Oryzias latipes: one gene and its partner. The protein of the gene in region 2 binds, or shares a complex with, the protein of the main gene of each other region. Links are inferred from orthologs where the notes say so. Each region holds a gene or a part of one and is shown on either strand. Other genes may lie near its edges. The genes, in order: ras-related protein Rap-1A and raf1.

Region 1 (10,043 bases), on a different chromosome or scaffold from region 2:
CACCTTCAACGACCTTCAAGACCTTAGAGAACAGATTCTTCGAGTAAAGGACACAGAGGATGTGAGTGTACTCTTCATGGGGGGTACTTGCCATACTTTTATAACTCCTCCCAATCAGCTCAAAATAACCTCCAGTATCCTGCTGACTTTGTCAGAATTAGCAGGCATTTGAAATATTTGGTATTGATTATTGTAGTGTTGTTAACATTATTTAGATACATTAATCACAAATTTACTTTGTATACCAGTTGGTTTTCTCATTATCTTATGCCGCATTTACACTGAGTGGGGGCGGCTGGTTTCAATGTTAAGTCAATGTAAACTTAGCAACAGTCGTGCAGTGGAATTCCAGCATGTTAAAAAATTTTTACCTGAACATTTGGGAATATTTATGTCACGTCAACCAATCAAGAACTCTGCTTTAAAAAAACTGGGCAGTGACGTGTTGTTGTGATCAGTCAGAAACCGACATGGTGGAGACGCTCAACGCTGCTATTTGTACTCCTCCCAAACTTCATGTTTTTTCTTATTTTTATTGATATTTGAGACAAGAATAAAAAGGTTCTTCTTTTACTTTATTCCTTCCATGGACAAATCGTCAAACTGGGCTTAGAGAAGTACAGTTGTGTCAGTCATTCAGATACAGCTCCTACATGGCGAAACTCACGTACTGAGACCTTCGTTGAATGATCTCATGAACCCAAGCTTAGGGACATGCTTGCTGGCACATTTGCAAAGCTGTCCAAAACAAATAAATCCAAGCTACTCTTTCAACATCATCCATGCCTTCCATAATGTAGCAATGAGGCACTTCAAAACGTATAGCAGTAGCTCCTTCCACATGCATATTGACCTAAAGTGAATTTCTGTGTGATTTATAAACACACTTTTTTACACACCATAAGAGCAAATTTGCTGCATGGCCAAACAGAGAGGGAGAAGGTCAATTTGATGCAAAAGCCACATTCAGTCTGAACCCAGCATAATGCTGGAGAGTGAGGCAGGAGTTGTAAATTGACTTTGAGTTTTCCAACAATGAAAACAAATGTACTCCTCTTAAGCATCAGCTCTAAATAAGATGCTTCTTATTTTTGGTTTGCTTTTTTTGTTCATTGTTCAACAAAGTACAAACCCTGATGGTCCCTTTTGAAAATATCCTCCAGTTGACTTGTGACATCTGAGTAAGCTCCTAATTTCAAATAAAGCAGAACTATGGCAATGTTATTTTTGGAAAACCAGCTGTCATCTCTGTATTTTCCAAATGTTTGTTTCAGTAGCTATCAACTAACTTTCTTCCTCCTTTTTGGAGGAGCAGATCATGCGTCAGCAGGATCTAAGATGCCCTTTTTTGGCGATCTTTGAAGGGATTGAATGTTACCGTAACCCCTACCCTTTCCTTTCCTAACTTCGTTTTCCTCTTCCCTTTTAGCCGTCAGTATAACTTTTCTCTTGGCTGAGTTTTGCTCCACTCTTTCTGTCCTCCTGGCTCCTTTCGTACCGCATCTTTGCTAGTTCTCATCTTTGTTTGTTTATTTTTTAATGGCCTCTCCAGCTCTTGCCCAGTTTTTATGGTCTTCGTTGTGGCCTCACTGTGGTCTGGCTCTCTGTTTGGGTGATTGGACTGTCAGGGATGATGTGCAAGGAAAGCTTCAGCTCATCAAAAGCACCCTAGGTTGTAAAGCTGTGGTGCTTCATTACGGTCTTTGTGGTTAACAAACCAACATTGGCCTCAAGCTAACATGTGGGCTGGAGGATCCATGGCGTGCAAGAAAGCATTTCATTTACCTTTTCTACCAAAACATGTTCTTTTCTGTTATTATTAAAAAGACTTTATTTTCAACAGTTTTGCTTGTCTGGCTGCTCTGTCAGCTTTCCACTCGGACGTGAATTGGGAATACACCTAAAACAGCTGGAACATTTGTTTTTGTCTTAGCAGGAATGCTCTACCAGAGGAATTTCTAAGCATATTTTCTTTTAATCATCTGTAAAGACCCATTGCTTATTTGGGTTTAGTCTCTAGACCATTGCAAAGTTAAAACAGATCATTCAGGTTTTATTTTTTTTATTTGCCCACACCACCATATGTGTCTCCTGACGGACGGCATTGGGAGTAAAAATAATAATAATCAGCATTAAAAATCCTTCTTCCTTTACTTCCTTCCACAGTTCTTATGTAAGAGATCCTATGACTTTGCTATTTCTGCCCGTGTCCATCATTGTATTATCTCTGTGTTTGTGAGTCACTCAGACAAAATGGCTCGTTACTCATTCTATACTTTGATGTTGTGCATTTTTGTGGGACCTCCTCCTAAATGTAAATGACATTTTAATTCAATCTAATGAAAATGGGGATTCTTTAATTACGGTAATGCTTCCTTATGTCCTGCTGACAAACCTTATTTTTCCCCCATCTCTGCATTCCTGTCTTTCCATCCTTGTTTCTTGTCCCGGCTTGGCTGAGTGCTCGTGCTTGCAGTGCACTCCATTGCTTTGCTAGCAGCCCATACAGAAGTGTTGCTCAGCAGTTCAGTGAAGGATTGTTTGGATATCAAACATCAAGCAGGCACCTCTGTAGGCTCACTGTATACACGTCTGTTTCCTGTCACGATTCTCAAATGCAGGAATGCAGAGAGAAAACTTTTCTAGAAATGTATTCTATGCTTTTTTTGTCTCAAAGACAGTAATCGCTTAACAAAAAAACAAGTGTTTTTTTAATCAACAAGACAATCCTAGATATAACTTCTGGAAGAGAAGAAGGTAATAAAGATGCGACTTTCTGAGCGTAAATTCATGTTTTTTTTCTACTGGAGGCCAACCACAAATAGATTTCTCCTGGCTGATATTTTATTGATGGCTGTTGTGCTGTAAAAGTTTCCATTAGGTAATTGTTTGTTTGTTGGAGGCCAGTGGCAAAAATGGAAACGTCTTGTGAACTGTGACAAACATTGATGCCTCGCTTCTTTTACCCCCCCTCCTCACATTTCCCAAGTAAACTAAACTGTTAAACACACAAAAATGTCACACACTGCACAATCACACACCATCATCTAATTCCACTGAGCAGCTGAAGCATGGAATACAGCTGAAATGTTGGAGAACATTCAGGAAGGAAAGCAATGTTATCCCGGCTGGGCGGGGCCGCCATGACTTCCTACGAGCCAGCATTCTCCCAAGATAGTTAGTCAGGAAACGGCAGACAGGATGAGACGCATCCCGACAACCCTCACTGCTCTGTGTTTGCAGATTGTAATAGGGAAGCCCTAAACTGGACTAAAGGTTTCCGTCCTGCTCCACCTTTTTATTTGTCCTGCTTCTTACTGTAAACGTGTTAATAAACAAAAGGAGAAGTGCTGTCTGTTTAAAGAGATCCAGTAACCACAGATCAGCACTCTGTCAGCTTTCTTTAGAAACGTCTCTATTAAAGACAAACCAAAGTTTTCTCAGCAGTTTCTGGTCATTTTTGATTAGTCAGCTGGTAATTTTACATTTTATAAGCCTTCTCTAACTGTCTGCCTTTTGTCACACCATTGGAGTTGATAGGATGGATAGAAAGCCCCTTTGCTGTCCTGGAGGAAGCATGTGGCAGATCAGTCTAAACTTGTTCAGTTTCCAGTTGCATGTAGCTACGTATGTCTTTTGGATGGCTGAAAGCTGTAAAAAAAAAAAAAAAGGTTTTCCATTTGTGTGGAATGTATGTGATTGAATGTCACGTCGACAGAATCTCATTCTAAGGTGAAAAGTTTGAACAGTGACTTGTTAGCTTTGATAAAAAGACAAGACTTGAAAGATTCTGTGCAGCAGTTTCACCTTCAAATCTTATGGAGGCCTCTTCATCACTTCATGTATTCAGCTTTCTGTCTGACATTTAAGAATGCCTAAACAAAATAGGAAAAGTTTGTGTTCTGTCCTTTGCACAGCTGGGTATGCCACTCCCTGTTTTTGTTCCATAATATTAAAATGATTGTGGAAATTTGTATTGTGATGAGTTGATTCGGGGTTAAAGCAGATATGGTTTTCTTTTTTTCTTCATTTTTGAATCCCTTATTGATCCTCATGCATACCTGGAATACATTATAATTGTTTTTATTCATTCTGTTTTTTCTTTTTTCTTCATTAGAATATTTTTTAAGACTTTAAAGTGTAAGACAGCTGAAAAAGGGAAACCTTTGACCCTCTGGGAAAATGGGTCTCCCTTGTGACACAGACCTGCCAGTTCTATTTTCTCTAAGTGCTAAAGAAGCTTTAGCAAAGTCTGCTCCCATCCAGGTTGGAGCGGGGCTTTTTTCTGCACTAGTCAGGGTTAAATGAAGATTAACATGGATGACGTTGTTGTGGGTGTTTAGTCAGTTATCGACTAGTAAAGTTTTATCATTAAATGGTAAACTACTTTCAGGATTTAAGTCGTCCCATAACATGTGGTCTTTTGCCTTGAACTGCAGTCACAGATGGATGTTTGGGCTGTTTTCATGCTTAGCATATGTTGGATGAGAGCCTGGACTAACACATGCAGAACAGAGTAACTATGAAAAACCCATAATGTCATAACAATCCGATGAAAGACTTGGGTTTACCTATGTTAGATTAATGCAATCCAAACAACCTTCAGTGAAGATGATGTAATGTGCTTGAAACACTCTCTGTTTGCTGAAACAGTTCAGTGCACCGATAGTTTTTAGGCTAACAAAGTAAAAAAAAAAAGATTAACATGCAGTCTTGCCTGTTTTCTACTGTTTTTTTTGTTGTTGCAGGTGCCGATGATCCTGGTAGGGAACAAGTGTGACTTAGAAGATGAGCGTGTGGTGGGGAAGGAGCAGGGCCAGAACCTGGCCAGACAGTGGAACAACTGTGCCTTTTTAGAGTCATCTGCTAAGTCAAAGATCAACGTCCTTGATGTGAGTCCACTTAAAAGCACGAACCTGGAGGTCCAAATCATTGAAAAGCAGGCAAATGCTTCAGGAGTTGTTGCAATCACCTTTTTTTTATTTTTTAATTAAAGTCCTTAAATCATGGATGGACTAAATTACAGATTCCCTTGCTTTTCCTCCCTCTATAGCCCCAAATATTTTGTTTTTATATCCCTGTTATTACTGTAGTAATGCTTTTGTCTACATTTTTACAAGTCAAAGGAAATGTAGGGATTGTTAGAATTTTCCCCCAGCCTAGAGTTTTTCTTCAGTGTAATTTTTCCACCATGCTTTCTAGATGAATTGGAATGCTTGAACATGTCCTTGTTTGTTTGACGCTCTAGATCTTCTATGACCTGGTAAGGCAGATAAATAGGAAAACGCCCGTGGAAAAAAAGAAGGCAAAAAAGAAATCCAACTGTGTCCTGCTTTAAACACCCCCCTCCAACCCCAGCAGCAGATCTGAGCCAGGTGAGTGCGGGCTTAGATTGTGTAACGGTTTATCAACAACACTCAAAAGAGCCCCCCCTGTAGAGATTAAAAGGGAACAGCAGAGTTTTTAAGGCAGCGTAACTTAGTCGATGATCTTATCTGAACCTGATTTATCCGATCTACAGATCCACACATTCAGGAACGCGTGAATTTAATAGACGGTTGCACTTCTATATCTAGTCTGCCAGTACATTTTCTTTTTTTATGACATGTTTAACACATTCTTAAAATGTGCACAGAGGCCAAGAAAGCCTTTTTTTTTTAGCCTTTTTAATTTTAAACACTCATGTGTTTTCTGCAATTATAATGTTTGAACCTCATCAAGTTCCAGCAGCTTCAAATATCTGAGGAAATCTTGGTCCATCCTTGCAGTTTCTCAGAAGTCAGAGGAGCTATAAATACTCTCTAACTAGACTTTTTTTCATTTCATTACTTCCCTAAAACAGTTCGTAGACATGCTAAAGGAGAACAGATCAGAAAATGTGAAACCAGGCACGCTCTCTTTGATTAACAAATATTTCTAAACAGAAATCAATCCTTTATGACCTAATTTACTATCAAATGTTCACAATGTGGTTGTATCTTTAAAAACAATTTCTTTTTAAATTTCTCTTATTAATGTTTCAGATAAAATAGAAAATTCTTTGGAAAAATATTGTATTTATTGTATTTATAATTTGTTTTGTCTTTTAGTCTTCCAAAACTAGGAATATTCCTATATTTAAACCTAATGTATCCTTCCACAGTTGATATTTTAATATTTATTACAAAAATGTCAGTAAACTCTGTTTTTCAAAGATTTAAACGTTATTTCATATTTCTTGGGCTTTAGCTTTAATTATTAAAGTGTTTTTATTTCATGAAACTTGTGCATGTTTGGAACAATCCAGCTTTCCTAACACAGAAATGCTGGATCTTGCTTTAAACTAGGAATCAGATATTTTATCTGCATGTGAACAGTTTGAAAACTCCTGGAATATCAGATATTTAAGTTTTTGCAGCATCTGATTGTTTCTTAGTACTAGAACCAGGTCAAAGTTATATTTGCTTCATTTTTAAACGAAAAAGTGAACATTGCCATTTTGTCATGAATGGCTTTTCTCTTCCATCAGCTGTTATTTCATTAGAGATCTGCAAAAACACATGACTGCATTTAGCTTTAGAGATCAGTGGCCTGTGAAAATAGGAGGAATTCAGGAATGATTTGTTCCCCTGAAGCTGTTGCAGCTTTGAACCACGCATTGTGATGGTGTTCTTCCCTTGTAATTGATTCCTTCTAGGGAACAAATACCTTTCCATCCTGCCAACAGTTCTGCAACACGTCATCATCACTTCTGTAAAGCACAGTCATATTTACACTTTAGTGTACTGACTGATCCCAAGCATGAAGTGCTTCTGCTAAACCTTCTGTTAGCTGCTCAGATGTCTACCAGCTTTGCATTAAAGTCCCCCTACGATGAAAAGCATGATTTTTGAGTTTTTGACATGTACGTGTGGCATTTTCCTTTTTGAAAGAGAACAAATGTCAACTTAACCTTTCCTCTGGGTCCAAGAAAAAACTTCCACACTGGCTGCACATATTTGGAAAATTATGTGTGAATACACACTTTCTTTCTGGCATTTCATTTTATTTGCTGTGCAAGTGAATTCAATCATTTTCATGCGCTAGCACCAAATCAGTTCTGAGCCACAACCAGTGCAATGTAGCCTAAATTATAATGTCATTCTAAGCAGTGGGATCAAAGGCGGGGCTACTCAGCTCAGCACCAACGGCCACGCCTATGTAGAGGAGATTTTGGAAACGGAGGCTTCAGATAGACATAAAATATGGCTTTTTAAGACATTTAGGTTGTGGGATTTTGGTTAAAAACTTCATAATCATAATTAAAACACAACTGGGAATGTTTTCCTGAGAAAAATTGTCATGGGGGGCTTTAAAAAGGAAATCAGCCTGCCTTCTTTTACTACCACACCTTTGTGTTTGCAGTAAGGCACGGTTTTTAAATGTAACATGTGAATGGCACAAATGCAAGTCCTAAAGGTTCATAATTCAAATGCAGCACAGAGAGAACGCTTTTAGTCACTTCTGCTATTTACTGTTTGGATTTAGTGTTGCTGAACCACCAGGTTTGTAATTTTTTTAAAACTTTTCGTTTTTTCCCCCTCCTCTCCAAGCACACTTCCAGTCTGTTTACATATTTAGGCCAATGTTGACCGAGCAAAACGTTGAGGTTGCCATAACAAAGACGTCACGCGGGTCTACGAACACCTTCTGCTGTGAACAGAGTTGGAGAATGCACAACTAAAATGACTGATAACATCCAATTGATCAAACATAAATCGTTAGATTCTGACAGCTCAAAAGCGCCTGGTGTTTGAACCCCCAACCTCAGCCTTTCTAATCAGCGCTTCGTTTCCTTTTTCATGCTCATATTGTGCAGATCAATGTCAGCTGCAGGATAAAGGCTGAGATTGTTTTACCAAAAAAAAAAAAAAACAGTTTGAAGCAGTTTTCCCCCCAGTTTGTTTACATTCCTTCTCAGAGGACTGATCTTTGGAACATTAGAAAGACAGGGACCTTTCTCTGTTTTGCCTTTGTTTAAACGTCTATGGATTAACTTAGAATCCACAAGTAAATAAACAATAAATCCGGTTTACGTGTTTTATGGAGAGGAGCCAGTGGATGTGAGTCTGAAATCTGCTCAGAATGTAACCCAGATGCCTCCTAATGAGGCGTTACCAGGATGTCGAATATATGAGGAGGCCCTAAAGCAAACGCAGGACACGCTTCAAAGATGTATTTCAGCTAACCTGGAAATGCCACTGTATCCCCTGGAAAAGGGGGTCCCAAAGCCCATGTAGTGGGAACAGTAGTTGTCAGAGTTGGTCTGTATGTGCATTGGTACACTCATTTTTATAGGAGTGAGCAGCTGCATTACTTCCGCACTTGTAAAATGTCCTTTTGAACACTCAAGCTAGAAATGGATAAACATGGGACTGCCTCTCTTAACAGAGTCCAGGACAGGTGAGCTTTTGTTATGTCAAACCTGTTTCAGTAGATGAGATTTGACAAAAACATGATTTTTTTGCATATTCCATCAAAACAGCATCATAAACGGCAATAAAATACAGCATGTGCACATCCTGTATCTGCTGTTTGGCACACGCATTCATTTACAAATGACGTGGTCAATTGAATGCTCTGAATGGAGCTCTGTGTGGGGCGAAGGCCGCCACATCGACTGCATTCACAGAGCACACAAACCGGTCCCAGTCATTTACATGCAGGAGTAATTCCACTTTTAACCCAGCCACTCTGCTTTTATGGACGCAGCTGCAAGAGGCTTAAATTAGCAGGATTTTATTCAAACTTAAGTGCTCTTGTTCTTTCAAAGTCCATTTTTAGTTTTAGTGGGACTCCGTTAAATGTGCTGAACAACAGTCATTATTTGCATAGGCACTTTTGTGCACTTTCTTACTCCGCACAAAGCAGAGCAGGGGCTTTAAACGGAATGCCTAATGGGATGTAAAGGTAAATAAAACAATGTTTACATTACCTTATTTAGAGTTTCCAATCATAAAATGTCTTTATGGAAGGATAATTTGAAGTTGCACTTTGACACAACAAAGGAAATGAAAGAGTAGATTAAGTGTTAAGGAGGACTGCATCATCCTGCAATGGACTACACAAGAGCTACCAATGTTTTTTTTCTTCTGTTTTGTTAACGGCAGTTTATTCTCCAGTGTACGAGGATACTGCGCCACTTAATGACATTAACTCAGTTAACATACACGTCTATGCTGGTCAACTTGGCTGCATCTCATCAGAGTAAAACGCTCTGTTTTCCTCCTTTCCGGTAGCCAACATATTACAAATAAAATCCATCAAACCGAGAGAAGGACTTCAGCCGTGGGGCTTTCATTAAAACCCTTGTGCTATCTTAGATGACCCCACCCTCACATTGACCTGTTCTCCCTACCATGACAAAGATGGATAAAGGTGGAAAGATTTCATGTAATCCATGGACACCAGTGAAGATCACAAATCATTGAAGAATAAAGGTTCAGCGCACTGTCTAGTGGGTCTAGATGACCCAACTCCCAATGTGAAAGTGCCTAGAATAGCACAAGGGTTACATCATGGAACATTGAGATTTTCATTGTCTGAAATGACAGCAATACATGACTATAAAGTGTTGCATTTAGGCGAGTTACAAGGCAAATTTAAATCAAGTTGCTTAACTGTCACAATGTTGGCCACAAAGAGGAAGTGACGTAATATTTGCAATTGTGGGGACCACTTAGCTAGCTATTATAGATCAGTTAGCGGCACTGACATTAGCGGTGCAACAAAGCAATATTGGAGCTATCCAGTTTTACAGTTTTAAGCCAGATAACAGCTCAGACAGGGAAGATGCATCAGAATGGAGCTTGCAAGGAGCTTGTGGCCTGCTTTAGTAGCTTCTATGTCCCCAGCTCTTTTCCAGCTGTATTTTTTTGTCTGCTCCTGATTCACAATGATTTTGAAAAAAATGTGAATGTAAGCTTAATTTTCTTTATATAATGTACTCCATTATGAAAAATGCCACAAACGTGTTCAAAATCACCAAAAACACAATTTTCAACTGAGTGGATTTAGTTGTGAAA
Region 2 (10,143 bases):
TGGATGGAGACGCTGCCATTGTGACAAACTGTTCTGTTCTTCACCAAGAACAGAACAGTTTGTTACTACAGCACTGCTCTAATCCTACGTGCCTTTTGAACGTGTTATCTTATAGACAGCGGGGCCAGACCAAAAAAAAACCAACCCCGGCGGAGTTTGGGGTTGGGGGGGAAACAGAGTAAGCTCCATGATCTGCTGCCCTCCCGGTGCTCCGTCCGGCCATCAACAAAATGAAAAGTTGGGTGGAAGCGTTACTTTAACGGCAAAAGGGAACGAACATGTGACACTGGCATCGCAAAGAGTCACCCCCTATCTGTAGTGATGTTAGCCTGAGCCAACCCGAAGCAACAGCTAAGAACCGTACCTTGGTGGTAAAAGAATGAGTTCCGCTAAGAAGCCCGCACTGAGAACCGACAAGCCCCGCTTTTCCAGCGGCTGGACGGTTGCTCAGAGTACGCAGGCCCCGGTAACACGGTAGGAGTCCTTTCATCTCTGTTGCTTGTGTCGGGGCTAATAGAAAAACTATTAAATAAGAACGATAGTTAAAAAAATAGACTCCTGCGTGCAATACGAGCCGGCTCGCACCGGCCACGGTGGCTGGCTGCTCGGCTTGTTTTTCCTCAAATTATTTCTCAGCTCTAACGTGACTGGGCCAGCTCCGATGACGTCACATGAGGAGGTGGAGGGAGGGTCTCTTTTGCTGCATCTCTGTGGCGGAAGGAGATGTGCGGAGCTCTGGCCGCAGCTGCACTGCAACCGCCGCTGCCATTTTAGACGATGAAGCGGAGTTGACCGACCGCGTCCAGACCAGCACGCGCCGGCAGCTCACCGATTCACCGAATCTTTCCGCCAGAGAAAGAGAAGAAAATGGCTCGACGCATTTTTAAAAATGTGTTTTTTTTCTAGGCGGTGTCCTTTTATAAAAATATTTTAAAAAGATGTGAACTTGCTAAATAGGGCACCGAACTGGCTTGTTCCAGTTAAGTACAGCAACTCCATTCTTAGTGCATCTCGTTTTTATCGAGACATTTCTACACCTTCTGTATGTGGAAAAACAAACGTATCCCCTCAAAAACACGCAATCAGACATACAATAAATAAAACCGCTACACACCTCTTTAGTAACTATACAAGTCCAAATGTAGCTAAAATGAAGCAGACATTGCATGCAACATTTATTACTTTGAAGTCATTTTACTTGCCATAAGTGAGAAATTTTACTGTTTATCACAAGTTCCTGTAAAAAATAAATGCATAGAAACCAGACAGCTCCACCCCGTGCTCCTCCAGCTTTATTGATAGTTTAAAATTACATTTCTATTATCTAGGACTTCAGTTGCACTTTCCTTCCGACTTAAAAACTGAGTACAAGCAAATGGTATTTATACAGTAGTCTAAGTGATATTGTACAAAAATAACATTTTGATTTCAGAGAAAACATTGTTTCGTTCCCAAATAACTCCAAATTCTGCAGTTCTGACAACTGTTGATGTTCAAATGTTTTTGCCAAGGCATGAAAAACAAAAAGGCATTTTAAGGGAGAAACTCTACCTTGGACTACTGAGTGATATTTAAATTGTAAACAGATTTCTATAAAAGAGCGTGTTTTTCTTTTTATACCTTGAAAAAAAAAATTGTTTTGAAATCTTAGTAATATAACAAGTAAATTTGTTATAGCCCACTTGTAGCTGCTTGTATGGGCTGAAATGCATCATGTTATGAACTGTTTCCATGTCGTACTCTCTTGGCCAACTCATATTCCACTAAAACAACCCAAAATAAACCACACATGGCAGTTTGGTTTCCATTTACACCAGTCTTCCATCTCATTTGACTGAGATGCTCATCCACAAGCTCAGAGGTCCTATAGATTCCCGTTTGTTTAGTCCCACTTGTTCATCGCTGATCACCAGTGGCTTGGAAAGGGGGGGGTTCTTCAACAAAGCATTATACATAACACCGCTACCAAACTAAAACATTTTATTTTGTATTGAATGCAGAAAGATATTTTTTCACCCCTTTCATTGTATTACATGTCTAGAGGCTCACTGGCCCGGGACTAGCCTCTGTTAGCCAACCTTTGGCCAGTGAAGAGGATTCAGAGAAAATAATACAACCAACCATCAATCCGAAAAATAAAGGAGGGGCAACAGAGGGCACTGCTTATGCGGTCGCTTCGATGGTGCACTCTTTTGCCAGGTGGCCTGCCTTTCCACAATTGTAGCAGTTAGTCTCGCTGGCTTTACTGCAATGCACTGCGACGTGACCGATCTCACCACACCTGCAAGAGAGGAGGAACGGGGCCACGTGACCAACCCAAGATGACAAACGTGCACGTCTGAAAAAGACGGGGAAACTTACCTGTAGCATTTCACCTTATCGCAAAGCTTCTGGATGTGACCGAACCCACCGCAGGAGTAGCACTTCTGCTCGTTGGCATGGTCGCAGTCACGCGCCATGTGGCCAGCTTTGCCGCAGGTGTAGCACAGCTGCTCCCTTTCCTTCTTGGGCTCCTTGCAATCCCTGGAAATGTGACCACTCCTGTGGCAGTTGTAGCACGCTAATAAACGCAAGCCAAAAAAAAGCAGTTTACAACTACTGTTAGCTTAAAGAAAATAGGTCCAAAATTACTAAATTGGATGCTTTGGTTTTAACATGTCAATACTTTTTTTTTTATACTAAAAAAGCTGCACACCATCCTCAGTTTGGTCACAATCCCTGGCCATGTGTCCCTGGTCACCACAGCGATAACAGAACAGCTCTGAAAACACAAGAGAGCATGTTACGTTACTTTTACTATAATTATTAAACATTTTGCTTCAAAATTAGAGAAAAAGATGTGTAAAAACGTGTGAGGTGCAGGTGAACTACTCTAGCCGTAGTCATAGTAATGTGTAGTACCCTTGCCTCGTCCCCGGCCCCTGCCACGGCCACGCGTCCCACTGGCGTTGGGACAGTGCTTGACCCAGTGCCCAGGGCGTCCGCAACCAAAGCACTCGCTGTTGCTGCTCATCTCCATTACCTAAAAACAGACACAAAACTAAAATAACTATATGTGCTTAAAGAAACCTATAGTGGGGTGGAGCAAACTAATCAGCAAGGACACGTTCTCTCCTGAAATTTCAGTGGATTCATGGGAGATTTTGACGTGATCTTAGCATTTGTAACATGCAACTTTATTGTGTTTTTTAGTATTAGCAAACCAATTCAGTTCAACACAGGACTCCCATCACAAATTACAAGCCAAATGACTAAATGGGAGGGTCTACTCTACAATCAGAGAGGGATTTTTTTTAATCTATTTTAATTTTCATCTAATGTTGCAATCCTAACTGTCAAATGAAGCCAATAAACTACAATTAGCAGCTACACTGACTAACTTACAAGATGTCCTCAGTGGGATCATGTTGTGATTGTCATAGGGCCAAACTTCAGTCTGCTGAAGACATGAAGTCAAGAAGGGCTTTAGTTCATAAATTGTTTAGCTTTCTTTTAGACTAAAGTTAGCAAAAATATATATACTGGCTGTCATAAATAAAACAGGACCAAGTATTAATTAACTCGTGAGCAATTGTCCCTTAAACACTTCTTTGCTGAAATTTCATTAACCCCAATTAACATGTGATTTAAAAAGTTAATACTTTAAAAGCATAACTTGTGTGACTTTAAAAGCTACACTTTGAAAAGAAGAAATACAAATCCTAACTTGAGATATTGGCTGGTTTTATTTTAAGCCAAACGCCATTAGAGGCCGGAGGATGGCCATGCCGTGGGTAACTTTATGTCCAGGGGCCAGCACGCCGCATCGTGTTTTGATTTAATGCCTTCAAACTCAACCAAATTGATGGGGCGTTTTGCAAACAGTGAAACGCTTTATGCTGTTTTAAATACCTTGTGGGGGGTTTCGTGTGTAAATTGCCCAACACAGAACATGTGGCTCTGAAGCGTTTAGGCGCTCACAGCAACAGAAATGCCAGAGGTTGAGGCAGCATGAGCGTCGGCCTAGTCACGTTGATTTTTCTGCGCACTCGCGAGACCGTTGCTGGCTAGCGCACGCGAGCTCAGCTAACCACCTCATGACCAAGAAACGCGGTTCAGTCGACGATCAATCATCGCTGCCCAGTAAAAGGATGCCGATCCGGGGTTATTATCGATAGTTCCTTGCGCTAAGTGTTTTTCCAGGAGTATCAGATTCAATATTGCGTATAAACGAAATTTCCCGCCAGGGCGCACTCACCAAAGTCGTTGTGATGTGCTAACGTTAGCAGGCCGGACTACGAAGCCGATGCTGAGTTAGTGAGAGCAAACAAATTGACAGTAAGCCGTATTCACAACAAAATTAATCAAACGTCTACGCTGGTTGACATTTTGATTCATAAATACAAATGTTGCAAAAGACCTTTAACACCAAACGGTTATAATATCGCAAAGCCGTTTTATTGCTTACCTTTATGGCTACCTAGCTATGTCACTGTTTACGCCTCCTCCTCTGCGCTGCATGCGGTGCAGGCAGGAGTTCCTGAATTGTCATTCACAGTATCCAGTAAAAACTCGCCCTCTGATTGGCTACGTGCTCGCCAAGTAACCAATCACAGACCAAGAAGCCTGGACACCGCCCCTCCAAATAGGCTAATCGTTGAGATGAGACGGTCCATATTTTTCCCTCCTCCGCTAAATTAGTCGTTTTCTCTTCGCTTCATTTCAGACATCTAAAACATCTGGAAGTGCGAGTACCGCCCGTATGCTAGGAAGAACACCAAACATGGCAGCACTTTAAAGTTTAAGAGAAACATAATACAATTGAAGCCAAGCTAAATTCATGTTAAAATTAAGGGGGAAACTCTTTATGTAATTAACACATTTTTAATGTCAACCAATCTGGTTTTGGATCTACATTCATGCAATTTGGAAATTGCATGGAGGTTTGATTTTTAGTGGCTGAATTAAAAAAAATATTTTAACACTTTTTCATTAAAAAAAATTAAAATACATGAGAAATGTGAAAGTAAATAACTGAATAACTCCGATTTTAATAGACTGTAAACAACAGCTGTATTACAATTATCTTTATTCCAAATAAGCCAAATTTAAAGAAATAAAGTAAAAAGACAGATCCTTAAGCTGTTTACTGGAATTAAACTAATAATGGGTCAATTCAACCTATAGTTTATGTCATTGTTTGTTTGTAAAACAATAAACTTTAATATTTCATCAGTCTTCTATTTATTTTTGAGTATTGAAAGGTACACATGTCATAGGAGCTGAAAACATCTCAGCTAACTGTCCTGAGTGCTCTCCTAGATCAATACGTGGAAGAGACGCTTTCACCAGTCTTAAGGTGGATTTGGATGGAAAGCTTTCGTCGTTTGATTTGTCTAATATCTCATTTTTGCATCCTATTAAATCTGATCATGTCTAATAACTTGTAATGGATCGATCTGGATTGTGTAAAATGATGGATTTTATTCAGCGTCACTAAAAACAGAGTTGTGGTTCTGCATATGGGCTGGAGCACCTTAAAAGCCAGCCCCATGACAAAGCCCTGCCCCATCCTCACTGGAACACTGTTTAGTATTTCTGTGTTTCAGTTACTTCTGAGATTGGGTTAGAAAAGCCTGCTGTCGGAGAAGATGGGTGAAATGTGAAGTTACGGATAGTTACAGATGAAAAGTGTTTATTGGGAAAGTATAGAATAAACCTACAGCTTTGTGGCTTTATTGTCTTGGTAAAACTGTGCAAAGAGCTGCTCATGGAGATATCCAGCGCTCAGGACACAACACACTGCCTGGTATGATGATAAAACTCCTTCATTGCTTTGGAGGATACTGGAGCCATCTGGGATAAGGGGACCTCGGAGGATCCTTTCAGGCCAGGACGTCACAGAGATGATGATCACATGGTGAGATAAGTTTGGTATGTTTTCAGAATGATACTGCTTTAAGAATAAATGGACATTACTTGCCAGAAATTATTATGGTTAAAGATCTTACAAAGGTAGAACAAGTAATGACGTGGTTCTTTTGTTCTACTTGGCTAAAATACCAGTTTGTATTGTGATTATTTATATTACATGGCTTCACATTGTGGTTTATTGATATTTTTAGACCAAATATGTCAGTTTTGGCTCAGATTTACTACAAAGAAGCAGATAAATTTCAGGGTTGCAATAACCCGTCTGTGCCACCAGGTGGCGCGCTTGGAAATGTAATGAAATACTTATTAGCCATGAGCGTAAACCAATGAAGACCTCCGGTGTAAGTCCATTAGCTTTTTGCGTTTTCTGAAAGATTTGCAAACGTAAGTAAACATAAATGCGCTTTTGAAGCAAAATAGCCTAAACGAACACTTACTGGGGGATAAGAATGGACGAAATCCGGTGTAAAATATGACTTCACAGGTCTGTATTACAGACAAAACTGTTTCTTTTCAATTATTTACGAATAAAGCCGAAGAAGTGGGAGGACTTCGGCTGGTCCTCCAGCTGCGCAGTCAGCGTGAGCGATGCTTGCAGGTCTTGTTTTGACTGCAAGGTCTAGTTTCAATCCGTGGCGTCGGGCGGACGCACGCCTTCAAATCTAAACAATGTAAATAATGGAGCACTTGCAGAAACTAATGGAGGTTCGACTTTAAAGGTGAATTAAAAAAAATCTCAGTACAGTCTGACTTTTTATGCGAACAACATTTTTGTTCCAATTTAACCACCGGGAGACGAGGAAGAAGGAAAGTTTTCCGTGAAAGAGACTCGCCTGTGACCTTTATATGAATGCAACATTCTCCGGACGCAGAGGATTATTCGACACAACCGAACCGGCGGATACACGTCTCCCCCCGTTTCAGCAGTCCTGACGTTCTCTCCATCTTTTCTTTGAATGCGTTGCAAAAAAAAAATCCTGATGATGTCACCGACGCCACTTTTTCCTGAAGTTATGGCGGAGCCCAAGTTTTTGAACTTCTCTTGGTGAGCACGTACTGGCTGCAGCTTGCAGCATGTCTTGCTTGTGTTTGCTAGCTCGCGCGAGGAGTTAATTTACTTCCACGGAGCGCACGCGGACACAAAAATGGACTCTCGAAACGAAGGGAAACCGAGTACTAGGATAGCTTTGGACTTCACTTATTGGCGAAACGGTTCGCCTCTGAGGGCCTTCAGACTCTAACTGTTGTAACAGGAACTATAAGGCCTCACATAACATCACCGTTACCCACTGGTAGAGTTGCCATGTTAGACACGGTCTTCGTTTAATTCAGCTTTTATTTGTTAATGCTCTGCTACCTTAACACGTTCCCATACGTCATCAAACAGTGCTACGCTGCTGATAAAGTTTTTATCCACACTTCAAACTCAGGGTTTGGAGCTGATTGTTTTCATTGGAGTTTGAGTGGCGTAACCGCCTATAAAATTAAATATGGGGACTGTATTTCACCCCCAAAGTTAAATACTGTCTTGTGGATGGATAAAAGCTCTTGTCCTGCAGAGTACAGTTAAAAAAAAAAACTTTTCTGCATATTAATCATGGCTCCCGTGACAGCTAGCCAGTACTACTTTACAGTAAATATTGCCCTCGGAGACTGCACGTTTTGGGGTAAAACACAATAGAGGTAACTGGAAAAGGGGTTTTTTTTTTTGGGAGGGAGGGTGAAAGTAAACCGGGAAAAACACTACCTGTATGTGTGTATCTATATTTACAACATAAGGCCACAGTGTGCACTAGAAACAAAGCAGAGGGTTCGGTTGTGATGGTTCATCCCAAGCTGTGAACACTGACTCCAGTTATTTTTAGCTCTGCTTATTATGTGTGTGGTTTTAAATGGTACACAAATCCTGATTGTTATCATCATTCCTATATTTCAGGTCAAACATTGAACGTATATTTAGTTCAATTGTTGTCGTTGCACGTTGTGCAATTGGTTCATTTGTCTCAGATTTTGTGTTACATTAGCCAAAATGTCCTTAATTTTGTTGTAATACTGTTTTAACGGCTGCTGCAGCCCCCTCTGAAAGGGCCCTAGTCTTAGTTTAATCTGGTGAGGGCATACCTAGTGAGATTATATTTAGAGATGACCTCAATTCCAATTTTTGACATCTAAATAAAATGTTTTCCGCCTTAATAAGAGGCAAATGTTGCTGTCGGCTGAGTATTGCTGTTTAGCAAAAAAATAAATAATAATAATAATAAATAATAATAATTAAATAATAATTTTTCTCCACATGACCCAGTCTACATAGGAGGCGAGCATCTAACAAAACAGGGCTTTACTCGATTGATCAAAGATGTAAAGGGGACATCTGATTGGTCAAATGTGCAAGAGACAATATTTTTTAAGTATGTCAAGCTCCCATGAAATTGTTTTAACATGTGTGCAAACATTTAAGGTAACCATTTATTGCAGTGTACGACGTCTTTTGCAATACGTGTATTGCACAGGCTGGTATCACCATGGCGATACATTTTCCGTTTTGTGCTAGGCCTAATCCAAAATTGCACAACAAATCTTTTACAACTTCTCCCAAAAAGATGCTTGAGCTCTTGACCATCTTATTTTTTTTTTAGACTATCGTGACAGTTCGCCTTACTAATGGAGCACCTTCAGGGAGCTTGGAGGACTCTGAGCAATGGATTTGGAATGAAGGACTCTGCATTTGAGGGCCCCTGCCTTTCCCCGACCATGGTCCAGGGTTTTCCCAGCCAGCGACGCTCCTCAGACGACAGCAGGACACCAGACTCCAAGGCCAGCAGCACAATCCGTGTCTACCTCCCAAACCAGCAGCGCACTGTGGTGAGTTCAATAGCGCAAAACTTCATGCCTATTTCCAGGACTCTGAAATCGACTTCCAAAACAGTGCACACATGTTGTAACTAATTCCCATTCTGTGTCAGGTTAACGTACGACCGGGTATGACTCTTTTCAACTGCCTCATTAAAGCGCTGAAAGTGCGAGGCCTGCAGCCTCAGTGCTGCGCCGTCTTCAGGCTACATCCAGGACAGACCAAGTGAGTTTTAGAACTAAAAGTGTTTTCTAAGCAGGGGTTTAAAGACCCACTCTGAGGAAAATTGTGTTTCTAAACATGTTCTAGTGGCATATAAAATGAAAATTTAGCTCAAAAATGAATTTCTGAGGATTATTTTATTCAAATTGTATGAATTGAGAGCAGATGAAAACATTCAGTTGAAAAAGAGTGCATTTGTGACGTTGAAAATACTCTTGGTGGGCCACACGACTAGATCGATGTACGTCTTCATTTTCCTCATCCAAGCTGACATCTGGTTAAAAACTGTACGGCTGGAGACTTCCAATATTGCGTTCTGTTTTCGTTGCACCGTTAATGTTAAGTGGGGGTTGTGAGGGGCTGTCAGCTAGCGGGAGGGCGTGTAAACAGAGAGCTTTTCAGCAATGGGGAGTGGAAGGGCGGCGGGGTTGCTCCGTGCCAACAGTCCCGTCCACAATTCAGATTTTAATGTTTAACAAACCACTGTCACTCTGCAAAAGATGATCGGAGTAGGACTGTAAAGATCCAACACACACAGATCTTTAAGATGCTCTATTTATGTGTTGGCTGTCTTGTTTCTTTTTTCACTAGCAAGAAACTAAGGATGGACTGGAACACCGACTCGACCTCTCTGATTGGAGAAGAGCTGCTGGTGGAGGTTTTAGATCACGTTCCCTTGACGACGCATAACTTTGTATGTGGTCTGAGTATCTTTGACAAACATTTCATAGATTTCCAGACATCAACACTATATTTTTTGTTGTTGGTGTTGTCGTCATTTTCAGGTTCGTAAAACATATCTCAAGCTAGCATTCTGTGACATTTGCCAGAAGTTTCTCTTGAATGGATTCCGCTGCCAAACCTGCGGCTACAAATTCCACGAGCATTGTAGCACCAAAGTGCCCACAATGTGTGTGGACTGGAGCAATATCAGACAACTCCTGTAAGTATTTAGGAGGTTATTGGATAAAGTAGCTATTTGTGCACAGATGTATCAAGTGGTTTTTGGTCATTTTTACCTTCACCATTATCGTCGTTCGGTTTAGTTGCCATAGAAGTAGAAAGGTCACCAAGACCAAAGAGGAAATTCGTGTCAACTGCTGCTGCACTTTTTAAAAATCATTTGCATGTTTGTTTAGTGAATGTAGAAGTTGTCT

What was found.
Region 1: the proteins of raf1 (region 2) and ras-related protein Rap-1A are in contact, whole or in part, in a crystal structure (PDB 3KUC), measured with the Homo sapiens proteins. The link is inferred for Oryzias latipes from reciprocal best matches to the Homo sapiens genes RAF1 and RAP1A. Residues at the interface, in NP_001341619.1 of Homo sapiens: Thr57, Arg59, Asn64, Lys65, Gln66, Arg67, Thr68, Val69, Val70, Lys84, Lys87, Val88, Arg89, Gly90; in NP_001010935.1 of Homo sapiens: Val21, Gln25, Ile27, Val29, Asp33, Pro34, Ile36, Glu37, Asp38, Ser39, Tyr40, Arg41.

Annotation. Positions count from the first base shown.
Region 1 is NC_019863.2:11,457,132-11,467,174, forward strand, and holds part of ras-related protein Rap-1A, read left to right. Parts: coding exon 1-61; intron 62-4,748; coding exon 4,749-4,892; intron 4,893-5,248; coding exon 5,249-5,338; 3' UTR 5,339-5,375; intron 5,376-10,043. UniProt on the Homo sapiens protein: Counteracts the mitogenic function of Ras, at least partly because it can interact with Ras GAPs and RAF in a competitive manner. Together with ITGB1BP1, regulates KRIT1 localization to microtubules and membranes.
Region 2 is NC_019865.2:17,672,354-17,682,496, forward strand, and holds the start of raf1 (RAF proto-oncogene serine/threonine-protein kinase), read left to right. Parts: upstream 1-5,280; 5' UTR 5,281-5,913; intron 5,914-6,214; exon of another isoform or gene 6,215-6,297; intron 6,298-6,372; exon of another isoform or gene 6,373-6,397; intron 6,398-6,441; exon of another isoform or gene 6,442-6,958; intron 6,959-8,549; 5' UTR 8,550-8,574; coding exon 8,575-8,775; intron 8,776-8,876; coding exon 8,877-8,989; intron 8,990-9,577; coding exon 9,578-9,680; intron 9,681-9,771; coding exon 9,772-9,929; intron 9,930-10,143. Other genes in the region: haloacid dehalogenase-like hydrolase domain-containing 5, read right to left, coding at 365-490; cnbp (cellular nucleic acid-binding protein), read right to left, coding at 2,164-2,281, 2,362-2,560, 2,696-2,761, 2,902-3,019. UniProt on the Homo sapiens protein: Serine/threonine-protein kinase that acts as a regulatory link between the membrane-associated Ras GTPases and the MAPK/ERK cascade, and this critical regulatory link functions as a switch determining cell fate decisions including proliferation, differentiation, apoptosis, survival and oncogenic transformation.